2 linked regions of the Oryzias latipes genome follow. The protein of the gene in region 1 interacts with the protein of each later gene in a pairwise test. Links are inferred from orthologs where the notes say so. Each region holds a gene or a part of one and is shown on either strand. Other genes may lie near its edges.

Region 1 (9,002 bases):
TAAGTTTTAATTTTTGTTCTTTTCATTAGATTGTCTAGTAAATGGTTCATTCAAAGTGCATTTTTTTTTAACCAATTTTCACGTGTATATTGGAGAAACGAACAGTTAAAATGCCTCCTCCAAAGTTTTCTCTAAATGGTTTTAGGTTTTTTAACATAAGCTTCACAGTCGATCATTATGTATGTAAAATAAATATGTAAATAAAAATGTAATCTGTTTATACGCACATCAATATTTCAGTCTTACATCGTCTCATATTCAAAAAAATGAGTGATGGAATAAGCTTTTTTTCAGATAACATTAGATGGAATGTAATCATGTTATTTTTATTCTGCCAAAAAGCAGCATCAGAAAAGGCACAGCAGTGCTCATTTTCTGTCGCCCTGTTATGGTTTCTGGCAGAGTTCTAATCTGGTCGTCACGTAATATAATTTGCAAATTATAACATTTAATTTTAAGATTAATTTCCAGCAATAATTTGTTTTTTACCACCAAAAAACGTAAATGCATGAAATAAGTAAACATTTTTTTATGAAAAAGATTTTTAACTATAAATTCCATGTCATTTTAGTTTAATAGTTCTTGTTTTACTGAAATCACTTCTTAATAATCTGTTCAATTTCCTCCTGAGAAAAGACTATTTTTTCAAAGCAGTCTTCTGAGTAATAACTAACCATGTTGTCCTTTTGCTCAGGTGTGGATCCCATCATTTGGGAACAGGCGAAGGTGGACAATCCTGACCCAGAGAAGTGCGTTGCTATTTAAAATGTCTGTTTGACTTGATAAAGGTAGTTCTAAAGGCAGACTGTTCAGGTTCTCATTTCCTAAACAGCTTCTTTGCTGTTGAACATTCTAAATTACTCTTCAGGTTGGACTCTTCTCAGTCCTCTTAACCCTCGTGCTATCTTAGATGACCCCAACCGTTGCATTGACGTGTTCTCCCTACCATGACAAAGGTGGATAAAGGTGGAAAGATTTCATGTAATCCATGGACACCAGTGAAGATCACAAATCATTGAAGAAAAAAGGTTCAGTGCACTCTCTTGTGGGGTCTAGATGACCCAACTGCCAATGTTAAAGTGCCTAGGATAGCACAAGGGTTACTGACAGCCGTAGTGAGACCCACTCTGAAGAGCAGTTGAGATGGTGGAAAGATTTCATGTAATCCATGGACACCAGTGAAGATCATAAATCATTGAAGAAAAAAGGTTCAGAGCACTCCCAACGTTAAAATGCTTAGGATATGGATTAATGTTAAAGTTAGATCATGGAGTTTGTTAAAAACATTTTTTTAATTAGCTGTATGCAGTTGAGATGTTCCAGCCAGGTTTGAAGTCATGATGGGTCAAAGATGGCATCAGTCAAGGGGTTGACCTCAGCACAGTTGATCACATGACTTGGATGGAGTTTGATTGGTTTGAATTTTATCTCACTGATAGACTTATTTATATTTGAGTCCTCTATAAGCCATGTGGTGCACCACAAGGTTCTTTTTAAGGTCCCAATTTTTTCATTTCATTTTTTCACTTTGAAATTAAAGTATGGATGCAGCTAAACCCGGGCAAAATGCAGAATTTAATCTTTGGTCCTGAGGCTGAGAGTGTCAAAAACGATCTTAAGCATCTAACAATAACATTTTGTGACTCCGTAAGAAACTACGCTGTTTTCAGCTCAGCGCTCCGCCAAAGCATGGGTCAAATGCAGACATAAAATGTCTACACCTCACTGCGTAACAGCTAATGGACTTTGATTTAAACATTGGGTTACTTTCACGCCTTTAAATCTTTCTTTCATTTTTTAATTCAAGTACTATTCCATGAGTTTATAAAGTTAAATGAAGCTACTCCTTTTTAGAGTTTGTAATATTCCAGTTTTAATCATAATTACAGTTTTGCATCTTTTTGCTACATTTTTCATCTAAATTAGTTTTACTTTATGAAATATAGATGACAGTGTTTAAAGTCCACCCACCTATTTTTAATTTTTTACTTTTTTGTGTGTGTATTTTATTGCATTTGGAGAAAGTAAAGTACTTTTAGAAATTTTGACATGAAAAGTGCTTCATAAAGTTAATAAAATGATGAGAGCGTGCCATAATCCAGAGGCAGAGCCGGGCCAATGGAAGACAGCTGCACAGACATTACATAAACGTAATTCTAACAGGTTCATTTTCTACTTTTTGGTCAGTTAAGAAGTAATTTCCAGACGTTCGTCTCTTCTTTCAGGTTATTCCCAGTGCCCATGGTTGGATTTAAAGAGCTGCTGCGCAGGTTGCAGATCCAGGAACAGATGACCAAACAGCACCAGACCAGAGTGGATGTGAGTGAGATGAAAAATAGTTTGTGGCTCTTGGTTGCCGTTTTAGAAGTACCGGTGCACAAAACCATCTGATATCAACGCAGGAATTCTGAAACTGTGGTCAAGGCCCGAGCGCAGATGTTCGCGCTCGCTGCCAACTGTTTGTTTTTTATTTTGAAGTTATTTTTACAAATACAGCTGCAGGTGTTTTCACCGGGGGGTTCAAAATTGACAATGTATTTCATAAAACGTGTACACACTAGCTTTAGAATAATGCTTTTAACTATTCAGTTAACCACCCTAAATATGGTGATTTTAAATGGAGTCATTATTTACAGATTAGTTTTGGATTGGAAGATAATCCAATATTATTATAAAAAGAAGTTTAATAATGTAATTCGAATCATTTAAAAACTGATACAACTTGGTGGAACAAAACTAGGACTGCACAATATGAGGAAAACTCATGATTTGTGATATTATTGATCAACATTGCGATGACGATATAATTTGCGATGCATGAAGAAATTGCGAAACAACTAAGTACAGAATTTCCATTTCACTGCTACAGTTTAATTTAAATAAGAGTCAACATAACTTAAATTATTCTTCCAATGACCCTCGTCTACATGGGAGGCAAACATCTAACTTAAAAGGGCTCCATGCGATTGGTTAATTATGTAAAGGAGTACTTCTGATTGGTCAAATGCAAAAAGGCATTTTATGATCCATTAAATTCTTCAAGCTGGCATGAGATTGTTGTAGCACATTTAAGGTAAATATTTATTGGAATTTTTGCCATCTTTTTTTATACGAATATTGCATAGCTTGACATCACTATAATGACAAATTTGCTATTTATTGTGCAGGTCTAAACAAAACAAATTATTATTATGCTTGAAGAAACTTTGAGAGGAACTCCAGGTGTGATGCTGGTAGTTTTTAGCATTAAGAACTATTAAAACGCAAAAAATCCAGTGCATTGTTGTTTGAAATTGCAGATTATATCGAATGACATCAGTGAACTGCAGAAGAACCAGGCTACAACCGTGGCCAAAATCGCTCAATACAAGAGGAAACTGATGGATCTGTCTCACAGGGTGCTGCAGGTAGCGTCCACATTTATCAGATTAGACTAAATTGTAATTACAGAGATGTCTGTATCAGACTGTCGGTATCAGTAATTCTTTTATTTAGAGCTTGTTAGAGTTTTTGTTTTTTTAAGTGCCTTAAAAGTTCTTTAGATCAAAAACCTCAGAGCTGGTTCTTTTCAACAGCTGATCTGCTCTGAGCTGCATTTTTGCAAGAATCGCCAGAAAGTCCAGACATTATCCTGCGAGGAAAAAAACAAAGATTTTTGAGAATATATTCAAAACATAAAAACTTGAGATGGACAAAGAAGAGTTGAGACAAGCTAGTAAAGACACTTGCTGTCAGTTTAAAAGATTTTCATACGAGGTATTTATCTCGCAAGTCCAAATCTGGGGTTATCTCGCCACCTTGACCAAACTGTTTTTGTGCACCTCCTGCCCAAGCTAATGCCGTATTCTATACACTTTCTGGCAATGTCAGGATCCTTTCATGATATAAAGACTTCTAATGGAGTATTACGTTGTAATAATGAGCCTGCAGCATATACCACTGATCATAAAAAGATTCAAATAAATATCCAATCCCTGTTTGGAATGCGAGTGGCGATTGTAAATGATCAGGCCCAATTTCCAATCATTTTCCTGATTTTTTTTCTATTAATACTGGAAATCACACTTTTGTTTGTTTGGGCAGTCCTATAATTTGACTTAAGAAAGGTGATGTTTTCTGATAAGAAACCGTAGCTATAAAAAAGTGCGTGGAAGGGGTTGAAAATGGATTTTTAAATGAGAGCCGCTGTTTGGACTTTTTGTTCACCTGCTGCAGAGACTGAATAATGAATCTTTCTTCAAGTCTGTAATCTTGCAGCTGTTGTTGATGATCAGGTGAAATCCCACTGAACTGGCGTTCCTGGCAAAATCTCCATAAAGCTGAGAGAAGTGTTTGTGTGGAGGCTCAGAGGCCCTCTGTCCTACATTCTTTCTCTCTGAAGGTTTTAATGTTGTCCGGTACTATTCTTCCAAGTAAACTGATGAATCCCATCTGTATATTCTATCACATTTGAATGTTTTGGCACTGCTTGCATTTATCTCCGCTCGGCAACACTGTCCTGTGTATCATTGCCATGTTTTCCTGGAAGGTTTTGATCAAACAGGAGATTCAAAGGAAAAGTGGCTACGCAATCCAAGTGGACGAGGAGCATCTCCGAGTGCAGCTGGACACCATTCAGTCCGAACTCAATGCCCCCACACAGTTCAAGGCAAGTCTCTGCAAACTGGAGCAGGAAGCTACTCTCACTGAAGGCTTTGGTCTGGAAGTAGACAAAATGGGTCTAAATTTGTAACTTTATAAAGCTGCATTTGACAATAGAAATAGCTATGTTGCCTCACTACTCCCTAACTACTAAAGGGCTATCTATGGTTCTGGAGTTAACATGCTTACTGCATTTTTTTGAACAGCAAACTTAATAACTATTGATATTTTACAAAGACTTTTTATGAATCCACTGTGTTCTGATGAGAAAAACTTTGAGGGTTTATACAAAATGAATGTAAAACACTTTTTTTTTTTAAATGAAAAATTGTTCAAATGCAGTTCATTGTGGTCGATATTCGCCAATCTAGTGAGCAGCGATGCACACTAGTTTCTCGGAGAGACTTCTTGGAAATTTCCAGGGCACTTGATTTTGGAATTGTAGATTCAAAAATCCCAAAAAATTGCACCAAGTGGTGAGTAGTGAGGGAATTTGGACACAACCCGTGTTATTAATCTTTGAATAATTTTAGTCCATCTTTGCGTATCTGCTGCTGTTTGGTGGTTTCGTGGACGTAGATGAGTCTAAATAGCTTAAAAAACAGCAATTATTTCATTTCTTAAGAAATAAGTCTTTGCCAATCTTTTTCGTTTTTGTAAAGTCTGTCATGTTTGTAAATCTAAAGTACTGTTGGAGATCAAACTGCCTTTGTGAAAACCCACCAATAACTGTTTCCCTCCTCTCATTAAGGGTCGGCTGAATGAATTAATGTCCCAAATCCGAATGCAGAACCACTTTGGAGCTGTGAGGTCAGAAGAGCGCTACAGTGTGGATGCAGACCTGCTCCGAGAAATCAAACAAGTGAGGGATCCTGTCACTCATTTGCTTGTACGACTGTCTATAATTTGTCGCTAAGCGTCTTCTTCTTTCCGTCATGCAGCACTTGAAGCAGCAGCAGGAAGGTCTGAGTCATCTGATCAGCGTCATTAAAGATGACCTGGAAGACATCAAATTAATAGAGCATGGGCTGAGCGACAGTGGACACATGAGAGGGGGCATCCTGAGCTGATTCCAACCTCTCAAAGCCTCTTCACACACTCTGACCCTTTATTTTGAAAAGCAGAACATCTTTCTTCCAGACCATTCTATTTTGCGATCTTCAGATTTGCTCGTTGCAGAAAAAAAATCCCGGGCTTTCCAATCAGTACAGCAAAACGACTGCGTAATCTGGATTGATACAGACAGCTCAATGGAATGATCAGTGTCTAATAATAGCCACGTCAATCAGATTATGCACATGTGACTGCCAGTGCTTTGTAAACAAAGAGGTGTTAAGTGTGTCAAGATGTAAATACATCTTTGTATTTTTTTTAACTATTAGAATACTAATAAATTTAAATTCTAAACCTTTAATGGTCTGTTTTTGTAGTAACTAGATGCTGTAATATGAACTAAATGTTTATCTACTTCCTTGCATTTCTGCTTACCTTATATTTAAACTATGGTACACCTGACACCATTGTTTACCTGCAGACTTCCACTTTTCTATATCTCATCAAAGCAGGGCTTGAGTTGATAGGATTTACATTTAGGCTTTGCATCCCTGCAGGGATGAAAAGACTGATTGGCAGCTGGACTGGTTAGGCAGCTTTCAAGCAGATTAGAACCCCCACATGTAGTCGGGTCACCCATGCATCTTAAGGGTTTGCACCACAGTCGGTTTGCAGGTTTTACCAACCAGAGACGTGGGAGGAAATGCAGAATTTAATACAATAACGAAACCCAATTTATTCAGTTAGTCTGCACAATATTGAGAAATTTTTAAAAATGGAGATTTTTATTGGTTTTTGTCAAAACATATACAGTGATTTTTGTTTTTAGTTTTTTCTAATAAATCTTTTTTTTATGTAAAGCGATTTTCCCTTTTCATCCTGTTGACTTAAAACTATCAGGCACTTAATTTTCAATCAAATGTATTAATAAAAAGCAAATCTGAAAGACAGAGTTTAGCCACTGCAAAAAGGTTCACTTACTAGAACAGTTTTTAAAGCTCCATTTAACTGATTAATTCAGTTTTTCTTATTCTAGAACAACAAAGGTTCTTATGCAACATGACTTTTTTTTTTCAAGGCCACCAAAGAAGCTTGAGTGTGTTGAATTACCCGATTAAAACGAATGACACAATTAATTGCTTGAACACAAAAGGTTTATTTCTTGTTTATTAAGAAAACAAATGTTCACTCAGATGAGATTTTAAAAAAATAAAGATGGTAAAAAATAACAACTTTGAGGTAGAAAACATCTAGATAACACCAGATCCACTTACTTAATCTACTAATGTTCTATAGATGGATCCTTATAATCCAGTCTGCAGTTCAGTGCTGCTCCCGTTTCAGGCGTTCAGCTGTGTGCAGACAGGTCCACCAACCGGAAGGCCTCCATGAACTCGTTGATGTCAATGCTGCCGTCCTTGTTGAAGTCGATGCTGTGAGCCAGGTCGGCGATTGCTTTGTCGCTGATCTCCATCTTGAGATGAGAACTCAGGAGCTTCCAAGTCTGACGAAACTCCTCCAAAGAGATCAAACCTGGAGGAGAGTGGTACACCGAGTGCCGTTTGGCTTGTCACAGCCTGAAGTGTGGGCAGATCAGCCTTGAAAATAAGTGTCGTGTCGCTGTCCCTCACCTGAGTGATCCGTGTCGATGATGCGGAAGATGGTTTCCAAATTGGAGTGGTTTTTGTACATGGTTTCCAGGATACTGGTGTCTGAAACCTGCAAACGGGATCAAATGTATGGTTTTTCTGCAACACTATAAGAAGAATGATCTACCGGCACACTGAATTTGAATAAAACGGAAGTATATTTGAAATTCCTCTATCACAATTGTTGTTTTCACTTGAACGTTTTTTCTCTTTTGTGTAGCTCCTTTAAGCAATATCAGTGGTGAACCTTAAAAACACCTAAACTGAATTAAATTAAAAAATAAATATAATAATAAAACACCTCTAGTTTGGGCTCAGTGATGGACAACTCCTTTATCCACTGCTGGTAATCCACCATGCCATAGTGGGTTCTGCTGACAAGCTGAGAGCGCAGCACCCTCCAGGGCAAACCCAGCTTCAGCACGCTCTCTGTAGCACTCGCCCAGTGTCTCATCGAGATCTTCCCTAAGGTCAAACGTGAAGACACAGGAGAGCAAGTAAAACCTGGTGAGTGGTCGGTTTGAGTCAAAGGGACTAAGGAGGCCCAAAGGGGCCATTTGTGGCTGTACCTGTTTGATGAGGATCGAACTCCTGGTAAGCCCTGATGAGATCTGATTTGTGCACAAACAGCTGCTCTCTCAAAGCTCTCAGGGCTGATCTCTCCGTCCAACCCACACTGGCAAAAAAAAAGATATTGTAATTTAGCCTCAATCTGAAATGTTTTTAAATGTCACATTGATTTTATTGATTTATTGTGCAAAAATGTTTAACATGTGGCTTTATTTGTCGAACAGCAACTCGTGTGTGTACCTCTGTCTCAGGGTGAGTTCTCTGCACGTCCTGCTGGCCTGGTACTGAATGAGGTGCGGAACCAGATCAGCTCCCATTCTGATGTAAGCCCCTCTGTTACTGCCCACTTCATAATAGTTGGAGGCTGAAAATATTGTGAGCACCTGCATGAGAAAGAAGAAACAGAGTATCATGACTGCTAACTCTGACCTCCATACTTTCCTCCCATAAGTGTCCTCTTTGTGCTCACCCTGCGGTTGTGGCAGAACTCGTAGCCATCCTGTTTGCACTCGTGGGAACGGATGAGAAGCTGCAGGTTGTGTCTTCCCAGCACCTCCTCTGTAACATCAGGGCCCCAGTAGCAGCCCCCACCTCGCACCTCATTGGAAATGCATCCGTTTTGGGGCATGGGATCACTCCACAACAGGTTCACTATCTGAGTGAAAGTTTTAGACCTTGAATCGAGTGATGGTATGCAGGTTGACATTTCTTTATTAGAAAAACTGAATACGTAGAAAAAGTTAGTTAAAGTCTGCTTATCAAGAAAATCTCATTTTTTTACGACAATACTGCAAAAAGAAACTTCTAGGAACATTTTCCATTAGATCCTGGTTTGTCATCTGTTGTGCTACAACACCTGCACAAATTAGACTCATAAAAAGACAATACACTAAAAAGACTATAAGGTAAAAAGACCTTTGTTTAAAAGAAATGTCTTATTTTTGCAAGAAGATAACCTTATCAAGAAAGTATTTCCATTGCAAAATAGTCTTAGTTTAAGAAAACACGTCTTAGAGACTAGAGGTGTTGTTCTTAAAGTAAAAATTTTTTACCCCACTGGAACATTTTTTTTTTGCCCATTCAAAGAAC
Region 2 (9,517 bases), on another chromosome or scaffold:
AAGCTGGTTAACTACAACTCTTTCTAGGATTTTAGAAATAAAGGGGAGGTTTGATATTGGTCTATAGTTGGCCAAGTTGTTAGGATCTAAACTGGGCTTTTTCAGAAGAGGTTTAACAACTGCATATTTAAAAGACTGTGGCACGTAACCCGTTTCCAGAGAGGTATTTATCATTGTTAATATGGAATCTTTAATTAGGGGAAAAGTTTATTTAAAAAGTCTAGTGGGAATTGGGTCTAACAGACAAGTTGACCTAAGGATCAGCTTTGATTCTTCTTGTTTGCTGTGGTGATGGACAGACTGACAGAGGATGTTAAACGGGTATCTCTGTGGGCCATGGTGTTTGCAGGTGACCTGTGGATCTGTAGTGAGAGCAGGAAGCAGATGGAGAACCATTTTTAGAGTTTCACAATATTAGAGTTTTAAATTGAAATAAACATCTGTTTAAGCGGTTTCATAATGTTGGACAGATATCTATATCCCTTCAGTTGTTCGCGAGGACTTTAACACAGAAGTTCTGTTCATAAACTTCCAAGTAGATAATATATTAAATTGCAGACAAATTATGTTATTCTGTTGTTTTATGCCAATAACGTGTCTGGGGATTGATTGCTCTCCTACCCCAGTTCTGCGTAAAACTCATGTTATTGTCAGTTCTGGTGCCATATAGACACTGTGTCTCTGGGTCTCTAACATGCAGTTTGTATTCATTTTATTGTGACATTCTTGGGTCATTATATTAAAGATCTGATATTAAATTTTGTCTTGTCAAACCAAATTTCAAGGAGATACTTGAATTTACCTGCCAACAAGACTGACCTTTTTGTTGTCATGTTTGGAAGTTTGACATCCAACTTGTCTTTTTTGCAAACATCACAACCATGTTGTTCTTGGGTCCAGGAAATGGTGCCGCAATGAGAACTGCATGGGAACAGCAACAAAACAATCACAGCAACCAACTACATTTTCCTTTTGTCATCTATCTTTTGGAATTGAAATAAGTGGTGTGATGTGATAACTCCTGTTACTCATTTTAAGTGGTGTGACTGATGTCTTGTTGACACGGTGGGGTGCTATAGTCAGGCTTGTGAGGTGCAGATCTGACCTCAGGTGGCGTCCAAATATTGGTTGGACAGAGACACTTAAACCTTTATTCTTTAAGTAAATAAGACACAAAAACTGAATGATATATGAAAGACTTGCTGTCACATAATTCCAGCACAATTATTAATCTCTCTTCCGTGATCAATTTTTAAACTGTAGGAACTTCTGTAAATTGGAAAGGATGCCATCTATACATCACTACCAAAAGTAGATCCCTGAGTGGTCAAAGTTCAACTGGTTTAACTTTCAACGCAAGTCCAATGGCCACATGTTTTGTACGTAGAGCCCAAAAATGGTCTTAAAATGTGCGTAGCTACGTGTGAACGCGAGAGTTTTGACCAAGGAAGCCTGAAATGCACATTCCATATGCAGTACATATATGTAAACAAGTCTACAGACGCGTCTGGACTTTTCATTGAAAGTGCTTGAAGGTACGTTGCTGAGGGTGGTGTGAAGGTATATTTATACATTCATAGTTCAAATGTGGAAAACAGAGGTACCGGGACCAGCAGGCCTTTGTACTTCTCATAGTAATGCATCTCCAAAGGAAGCGGTTAGGCAGAGATTTTTACACCGGATGCCCTTATTGATACAAGCCTATACATAGATAGGAAGTAGCAAAGAGGGTCTAGCACTCATCCAAGAGTTTTTCCCAAGGATCCAAGGACTGGATGAAGCTCTTCGCCCCCCCCCCCCCCCCCCCCCCCCCCCCCCCCCCCTGGTTTCCCAGGTGCCAGTGCTGCATGCAGGCAACTGAGCCATCCCTCCTATACAGAGACGGAGAGCTATATCTGGGTGGAGGTTTAGTGAAGGTAGTGGAAGTCCATGTGGGTGATTATGTACCTGGAGGAGTTTAGAGGCTGGGTACTTCAGCTTTTAGGCAACAGTGCCAATAAAGTCCAGGTAAGAACAAACCAGGTAAATCGTCCACCAATCCACACCATGAGATAATCCAGTGCAGAGCAGTAATAACAATAAAAACAAAAAATCTAACAGTGAGCAGCAGCTACAAGACATATCAGGATGAAAGCTTCCTGATCTATCTGAGAAGCCTCCAACTACATTGACATGAACCTGAGCCAGCTTCACAATCCGCCTCAGCTGAGCATGTTTGTAGCTATTAACAACTCCAGCAGCACTCAGTAGTTCTCCGATTCCCCCCCCCCCCCCCCAGCCATAAAACTCCTCCATGTTTTCCATGAAAGGCCTAATTAACAAATGCATAATTTTTTTTTCTATCTCCTGCAGTGGAAGTCTCAGAGAAGAACTAGGGGATGAACAGATACAGGATGAAAGGTTTTGACGGAAAGGTGTAATATCTGAGTAATGCTGCAAAAAGGGGACTTTTGGGACAGTGTTCTTTAATAAAGCGTTTAAATGATACTGATAGTTGTTGATCTGATTTTCTAGTTTTTTCCTGCTTAAGAAAGTTTTTTATGCAGGAAAACATACTCTGAATGGGATATATTTTTTCTTTAGTGTTTGTATTAGTTTTAAATTTAACACAGCCCATAAACACCTTGATAAAAATCTACGATTTTAAGGTATGTACTACTGATGAAAGCATGTGTGCATCCTCTTTGTATGTTACACTTGTATTGATTTTGTGTCATATCTTGCATGTGACAAATTTGCAATTGGTCAAGAAGGGGAAAAGAGAGATGTCAGTTGTGCATTTTTTCCAAAAAAAAACATAAAACAGTATTCCATGCTTTCATTACATCCCCGTTGGATCACTGTAACAATGTATCTCAGGCAGATGGGCTCCCCTCTGGCGCCTCCAGCTGGTCTAGATAGCTGCTGCTCATTTCCACTTGAAGTTTCAGTGAAGCCACATCATCCATGTCTGTACATTTTAAAGTGTTCTTATGAGTGAACGAAAATGTCTTTTAAAAAATGTCTTATCATCTCAATTCATAAAGAACTAGTTGGTTCTTTGAGCTTATCTCTTCATCCAGTCATGACGTTTGAACTTGCGAAAGGAACCAGACTTGTCTAAACTTCTACCGCTGGGTGGGTCTACCTACTGGGGTGTTTAGCCTAACCTGGTTTAACTATGAGGATGAACCTGATGATTGCACGCGCACATGGTGGCTTTAAAACTGACTGTAAATTGATTCTTGTTTTTAAATGAACGATAATATCAGAAACACGTGAAAAAGACTTCTCGAGAATGTGTACCACCAGAGGTCGGCGGTAAGCTAGTGCGCACGCGTAGTGGCGCTTTGTGCGGTTGCCTTGGTAGCAGGAGGAGGAAGAGGCGGAACGTCTTAGTAGGACCCCTTATGAGGAGGACCGGAGCCGTGCAGAGTAACGTCAGGGGTTTATTAAGGTGAGTGTCCGTTTCCACAACCAAAGTTTAGTTTACTATTCTTTACGAATGGTTAACGGAGGCTAACAGCTGTTAATTTGTCATCTCCTACGTATTAGCTCGTTAGCTGTTAGCCGCAAAAAATCGAAGAGGGGAAAAAAAGATGGTTGAGAGGTTCATACAACGTGTACAAACACTTCTGCCAAAGTCTGAGACTGTGGAGCTCCAAGTTTAGAGGCATTTTTTGAGGTCGCCGGGACAGAAAAACTCAACGTTCTTGTTTACTCAGATCTAGTCTGAGTTTGTTGCTTATTTATTCATTTATTTTTGACGTATTTTCTTACTGTAGTGTAGAAAATCGATGCTTGTGACGTCACCCATAGATTTTTTTTTAAAGAAAACTTTATTATCTAAAATACACAAACAATGTGTGCAGATTAGTCACCAAAACAATTCTTGTGGCATGGATTACAGCTTTGAACGGCGCGATAATCATTTAACGTGGTTAAAAACATGAAGGGGGGTTGTTTAGGTGTAAATGTAGAAATTAAAATAAATAATCTTCATTCATTGAATTGGTGCTAAATGGACTAAGATTCACAATAAAGATGAAAACAATTTGTACAGTAACACTACCCCCCCCCCCCCCCCCCGAAACCAGGAAGTACCCAACACTGCAGTGCTATGAAAGACCGCTGGAGGCAGCATTTCACTAATTTTAATGTTTAAAAGTCTAGCCCAGCTCAAAAACTAAACAATGTATATTTTGTTTCTGACGCTTTTTGGATGTAGAGAGGGTATAACAGAGCCACACAATTACGCAAACTGCCACAAACACTTCATTATTATTGTTATTATTATTATTAATCAGATTAATCCATCCTGAACTCATCTGTTCAGGGGGGATGGAGGTTGGACTGCACCAAGGATCAGCTTTAATCCTTTTTGTTTGCTGTAGTGCTAGACAGACTGACAGAAGGACTGACAGGAATCTCTGTGGAGCGTGATGTCTGCAGATGACCTGTGGATCTGTAGTGAGCGCAGGGAGCAGAAGGAGGAACACTTTAGAGAGGTAAAGGTTTGTTCAGGAAAGGAGAGGAATGAAGGTTAGCTCCAGAAAGACTGAATGTGTAAATGAGAGGAACTAAAGAGGAACGGTGAGGTTACAGGGAGCAGAGGAGAAGAAGGTGGAGGACTTTAAATACATAGCTCAGAGGTGAAGAGGCGTGTGGAAGCAAATTGGAATGGGTGTAATTTGTGTGTTATTTTTATTTGCTAAAACGTTATTTTTGTAAAAGCTTTTAAGCGCAATTTTAGAGTTTTGAATTTAAATAAACATCTGTTTATGCGGTTTCGGAATGTTGGACAGACATCTTCATTCCTCCATTTGTTTCTGAAAACTTTTAACACTGACTGAAGGTCTGTTCATAAGCTTCCAAGTACATAATACTATGGTAAATTATATTATTTTGTCCTACTGGACTGGACTAAAGTAATGCAGTTGCGGAATTTATCTGTTGTGTTAAAGAAATAGACAAGCCAAAATGCAAAGCTTTCAAATTACTTCTCAATCTTTGTCCTGTAAGGCAGTAATTGTATCTTTCTAAACTCCTGCTGGTTGTTAACAGTCCATAACTGGACTTGTGGCTGACGCTAGACATCACTGGACTGTATCAGCATGTTTGGTAACTCTGGTACGGTCAGTAAAGTATTATGGTGAATGGAAGAAACGGTAAGCATCAGTCCCAAGTCCTTCAGTGTCCGTTACATCCAAAAGGATAAAGTCAAATCTAGCCTACATACATTCATCCATATGTGAAACAACTCTTTATAATAATTTTTTCATTTTAAAAGATGTTTTTTTTCTTTTTAGACTTTATAAAGAGTGTTTATCATTGTGGATCAAACTCCTGCGTCTGTCAGGTGGTTAAACTGGTGCTGAGTGTTTGAGGAGTTTTGGAAATAACACAATATTTGACCCACAGGAGACTCCATGGCTAAAGATCCGTTGGCTGAAGCTGGCTTCCACTTTGACGAGGTAAACAAGCTGCGGGTTCTAGAGCCAGATGTGAGCCAGAGCACGGCGGAGCTGAAGGAGGAGTGCAGAGAGTTTGTGGACAGTAAGAATCCACGGATCTGTTGTCCACCCCGTCCCACCCAAAGCTCCTATAGGTCTGTGTCTCTGCAGAGATCGGACAATTCCAGAAGATTGTGGGCGGTCTCATCAGCACAGTGGACGGGTTGGCCAAGGAGGCGGAGACTGAAAAGATGAAGGTGAGGCTCCCCTCTTCTCAGGTTAGGTCAAAACCTACAGTTCATCAGTGTTGGCAGTTATAGTTACCCAGTACTTAATCCTATAAGTAATAGATTTAACCAGTTGAATTATTCTATAATAAAAGTAACCAATTTTAGCAGGAAAAAACTATTTACTTCACATTAAAGAAAAACTGTTTTTTGTAGATTTTTTGGACCAGTTTTAACAATTCAATTGGAATGAGTAAAATAGACCCAAACTTTTATTTAACATTATTTACATTGGAGGAACTCCAACACCTTCTGGTAAGCTGCCCAGTTTCCTCCTGACAGACATGTTGTGGTGGAAAAGCTGCTGGAGCTGCGTTTGATTTACTGTTTTTAGTTTATGTCAAACATTCAGTAACCCGATCAAACAAAAACTGCTCCTCATTGGCTGATATCACTTCCTGCAGGCCATTGGAGCCAGGAACCTTCTGACATCTGTGGCGAAGCAGAGGGAGGAGCATCAGCAGCTGCTAAAGGGTCTTATTGCTGAGAAGAAGATGCAGCTGGAGAGGTACCCCACCCCCCCCACCCCTCTAAATCCTGCAGGAGTGGCGTCCATGCTCCCTGCTAACAGCTGCTACTTTCTTTAAGGTACCGGGTGGAGTACGAAGCCCTTTCCCGGGTAGAGGCGGAGCAGAGCGAGTTCATCAACCAATTCATCCTGCAAAAGTGAGGCGGGACTCACCTGTCTGAGGCTGCTGCCTACAGCTTAAGCCACCCTGCTGTGGGGTCGGGGTGGTGGTGGTGGGAGGCTCCAGGACACCTTCCTGTTTGTCCCACATGTGTTGTCACACTGTGACCCCTCCACCCCCTTGCTCAGAGAGCACACACTCATCAAGGCGGCTGGTTTGTTTCCCGCTACACAAGATCCTGACATGGACATGAACTGAAACTCAAACCTGGGTCGGACTCAGCAGGTGCTGTTTACATCTGTGCATGGGAGGGTGGAGCGGGCGCTGAGTAACTGAGATGTACAATAAAGTTTTCATGTTCAAATGAGATCTGTTTCCTTCAGAGACACGATGAATATATAAACAATTCAAACACTATAAGTAGCAAAAACAACATTCCTCCCCTGAAAGAAAAAAAAAAAGGAAAACATCAAAAACCTTTTTGGCACTAAGCTGGACCTTTATTTTTTAGTAAAAAATCATGGAGTCATCCTGAAACCTGCTGATCTTTTGAGCCGCTGCAACATTGAGGACTTCCCAAGCTTTGTCACATTTGGAAACAGAGGGTGAGGGTAGCACGGTCACTTCCCCTGGCAGTACTGTAAAGGAAAGCAGGTTCATTTGACTGCACTACATACTGCATTAAACTACAGCTCCCATGATCCTTACCTTCTCCAGGATCCAGTCTGCATCTGCCACAGCCCGGTTTATCATGAGGAGGATCCTTTCTGGGTCTTTTTCATCAGAATGGCTGTTGTAGCTCTGCAGAGGACAAAGAGCAAACTATCACTAACTCATTGGTGGAGAGGTAGTGTCTGCCCTGAGACTGAAAGATGGTAGTGTACCCATTTCCCCAACAGAGGGTTCAAATCCAAAGTACAATTGTTTACATTTAACCTGAGTAAAGATGAGCGCTCACCTGTCTGATGGCGTGCCTGTAGTGCTGTTGCATGGCGGCGGATGGCAGCTGCCTGCAGCACCTCAGCAGGTACCTGTACAGCTGCACAGATGTCTGGATGAGCTCTGCTCCAGGTAAGGGGGGCATCTTACCTCTGAGCTTCCTGGTTTTGAGGCTGAGTGGTAGGAGCCAAAAAACGTAATAGAGGTTGGAGCTAAGATTAAGAAAACCCAAAGGATGTTGATGGAGCTAGTTGGTGTGATGAGGAGAGGGCTTGATGGAGGCCGAAGACCCGTGAATCTCCTGACTCTTTTAATTCCTGATAATTACGGGTTTTTTCTCAAGGAAATTCTCTCCCAACGTTTGTCTTCTGGTGTTTTAAATAAAGGTTTTGAAAAAAAGGTTGGTTTGGGGTTAGGACGTACGTAGGTCGCCAGCGAAAACGGTATCACTCTATCACTCACCACAGCGACCGATCACGCAACGTGGACAACGTCACGCATCCGCACAGACCTGAAGAAGACGTAGCCGATGCAAAAAAAAAAAGACGTAGCCGATGCTACTTAATCTGACGGGAAAAAAAACATCTGTCGGTTGTTTACGCTGGGAGCACAATGCGCATGCGCAAATAGTACACTTAATACTATTTCTTTGTTTTACGTCGCTTGGCAAACAAAAGAATAGCACATTACCGCCACCACCTGGTCTGGAAGGTGGGTCGAGGGCTTTATCATGTCAATAGATTTGACATGTCCTACTCAGGGCATTTTATGTTTGTCCCATCAGGCGTGTACTGCTTAAAAATTTGATCAAATATATATTACTAGTTTTTTTAAATTTCATATTCAATGGAATTTTCATTTATTGAATCTGTTTTTAGTGTGTCTTTATGCTTTGCATAATATTTACATTTCAATATTACATCCTCCATAGTGGCCCTGTGACAGACTGGCGACCTGTCCAGGGTGTACCCTGCCTTCGCCCATGAGTGGCCAGGATAGGCTCCAGCAGCCCTGTGACCCCGAAAGGGACAAAACGGGTTTACAAGATGAATAAATATGAATCTTCCACAGTTTCTATATCCTGACAAAGTCAACTTTATTGTCGATTTTTCACATGTGCATCACATACAATGAATCGAAATTCCGTTTCTTACTCTCTCATGTCTGTTCAAGAGAAAAAAGAAAATAAATAAAAGGAAAGAAAAGAAAGACAATTTACAACATTAGCTATTAAAGTGCAAGTGCACTTAAGGCAGTATCTCAAGGCAGCGGGGAAGGGGGGGGTCACCCAAAGTAGTGGGGGAAAGTGTAGAAAAAGCCAATGAGCTGAATACCTTTTTTAATAGGTTTGACATTTCACCCCCACTCCCCCCACTTCCAATACCAGCCCGGTCCACGCTACACCCATCACAGTGCCCTTCCCACTGCATGTCCTTACCCCTCAGCCAGAGGAGGGCCCAGCTGCTCAGGCTGCTGCTTCATCATTAATCAGCCATGATCTCTCTCTTCCCATGTCCTCTACATGTGATCCGCACCCTCCACCTGCAGGATGTACCCCCACCGCATCACAGAGCATCAGGTGAGGAGGGAACTGCAGAGACTGAACACCAGGAAAGCAGCAGGTCCAGACAGAGTGTGTCCCAGGCTGTTGAAAACGTGTGCAAATGAGCTTGGGTCTCCTCTTCAGCACCTTTTCAACCTTAGCCTAAATGTAGGACATGTTCCATCCCTCTGGAAGACCTCGTGCATTGTTCCTCTCCCCAAGGTCAAGCACCCGAGGGAAAAGAAGGACTATCGGCCTGTAGCACTGACCTCACATGTGATGAAGACCTTTGAGAGGTTAGTGCTTCAGCAGCTGAAGCCACAGGTGCAGCACGTCCAGGATCCACTGCAGTTTGCATACAGGGAGAGAGTAGGGGTGGAGGACGCAATCCTCTACTTGCTACACCGCACCTATTCTCACCTGGATGAAGGAGGCGGCGCTGTGAGAATGCTTTTCTTTGATTTCTCCTGTGCCGTTAACACCATCCATCCTCACCTGCTGCAGGAGAAGCTCACCAGGATGACTGTGCAACCATTCTTGGTGTCCTGGGTCATGGACTATCTGACCAATAGGCAGCAATATGTCCGCATGGGGGGGTCTGTCTCCAGTACCCTCAGCTGCAGTGTAGGGGCACCACAGGGGACTGTCCTGTCTCCTCTTCTTTTCATGCTGTATACGTCCGACTTC

The links.
Region 2: the proteins of nup54 (region 1) and ift20 interact in binary tests that used the Homo sapiens proteins (3 or more experiments, as listed by UniProt). The two-hybrid records come from large-scale screens. The link is inferred for Oryzias latipes from reciprocal best matches to the Homo sapiens genes NUP54 and IFT20.

Annotation. Positions count from the first base shown.
Region 1 is NC_019870.2:10,474,144-10,483,145, reverse strand, and holds the end of nup54 (nucleoporin p54), read left to right. Parts: intron 1-694; coding exon 695-749; intron 750-2,225; coding exon 2,226-2,319; intron 2,320-3,299; coding exon 3,300-3,407; intron 3,408-4,528; coding exon 4,529-4,648; intron 4,649-5,392; coding exon 5,393-5,503; intron 5,504-5,582; coding exon 5,583-5,711; 3' UTR 5,712-6,055; downstream 6,056-9,002. Other genes in the region: serine/threonine-protein phosphatase with EF-hands 2, read right to left, coding at 7,043-7,227, 7,326-7,413, 7,645-7,808, 7,913-8,019, 8,154-8,296, 8,383-8,568. UniProt on the Homo sapiens protein: Component of the nuclear pore complex, a complex required for the trafficking across the nuclear membrane.
Region 2 is NC_019871.2:17,865,225-17,874,741, forward strand, and holds ift20 (intraflagellar transport protein 20 homolog), read left to right. Parts: upstream 1-3,303; 5' UTR 3,304-3,436; intron 3,437-4,373; exon of another isoform or gene 4,374-4,487; intron 4,488-5,400; 5' UTR 5,401-5,408; coding exon 5,409-5,535; intron 5,536-5,603; coding exon 5,604-5,689; intron 5,690-6,123; coding exon 6,124-6,227; intron 6,228-6,307; coding exon 6,308-6,389; 3' UTR 6,390-6,715; downstream 6,716-9,517. Other genes in the region: lyrm9 (LYR motif-containing protein 9), read right to left, coding at 6,969-6,986, 7,057-7,149, 7,307-7,432. UniProt on the Homo sapiens protein: Part of intraflagellar transport (IFT) particles involved in ciliary process assembly. May play a role in the trafficking of ciliary membrane proteins from the Golgi complex to the cilium.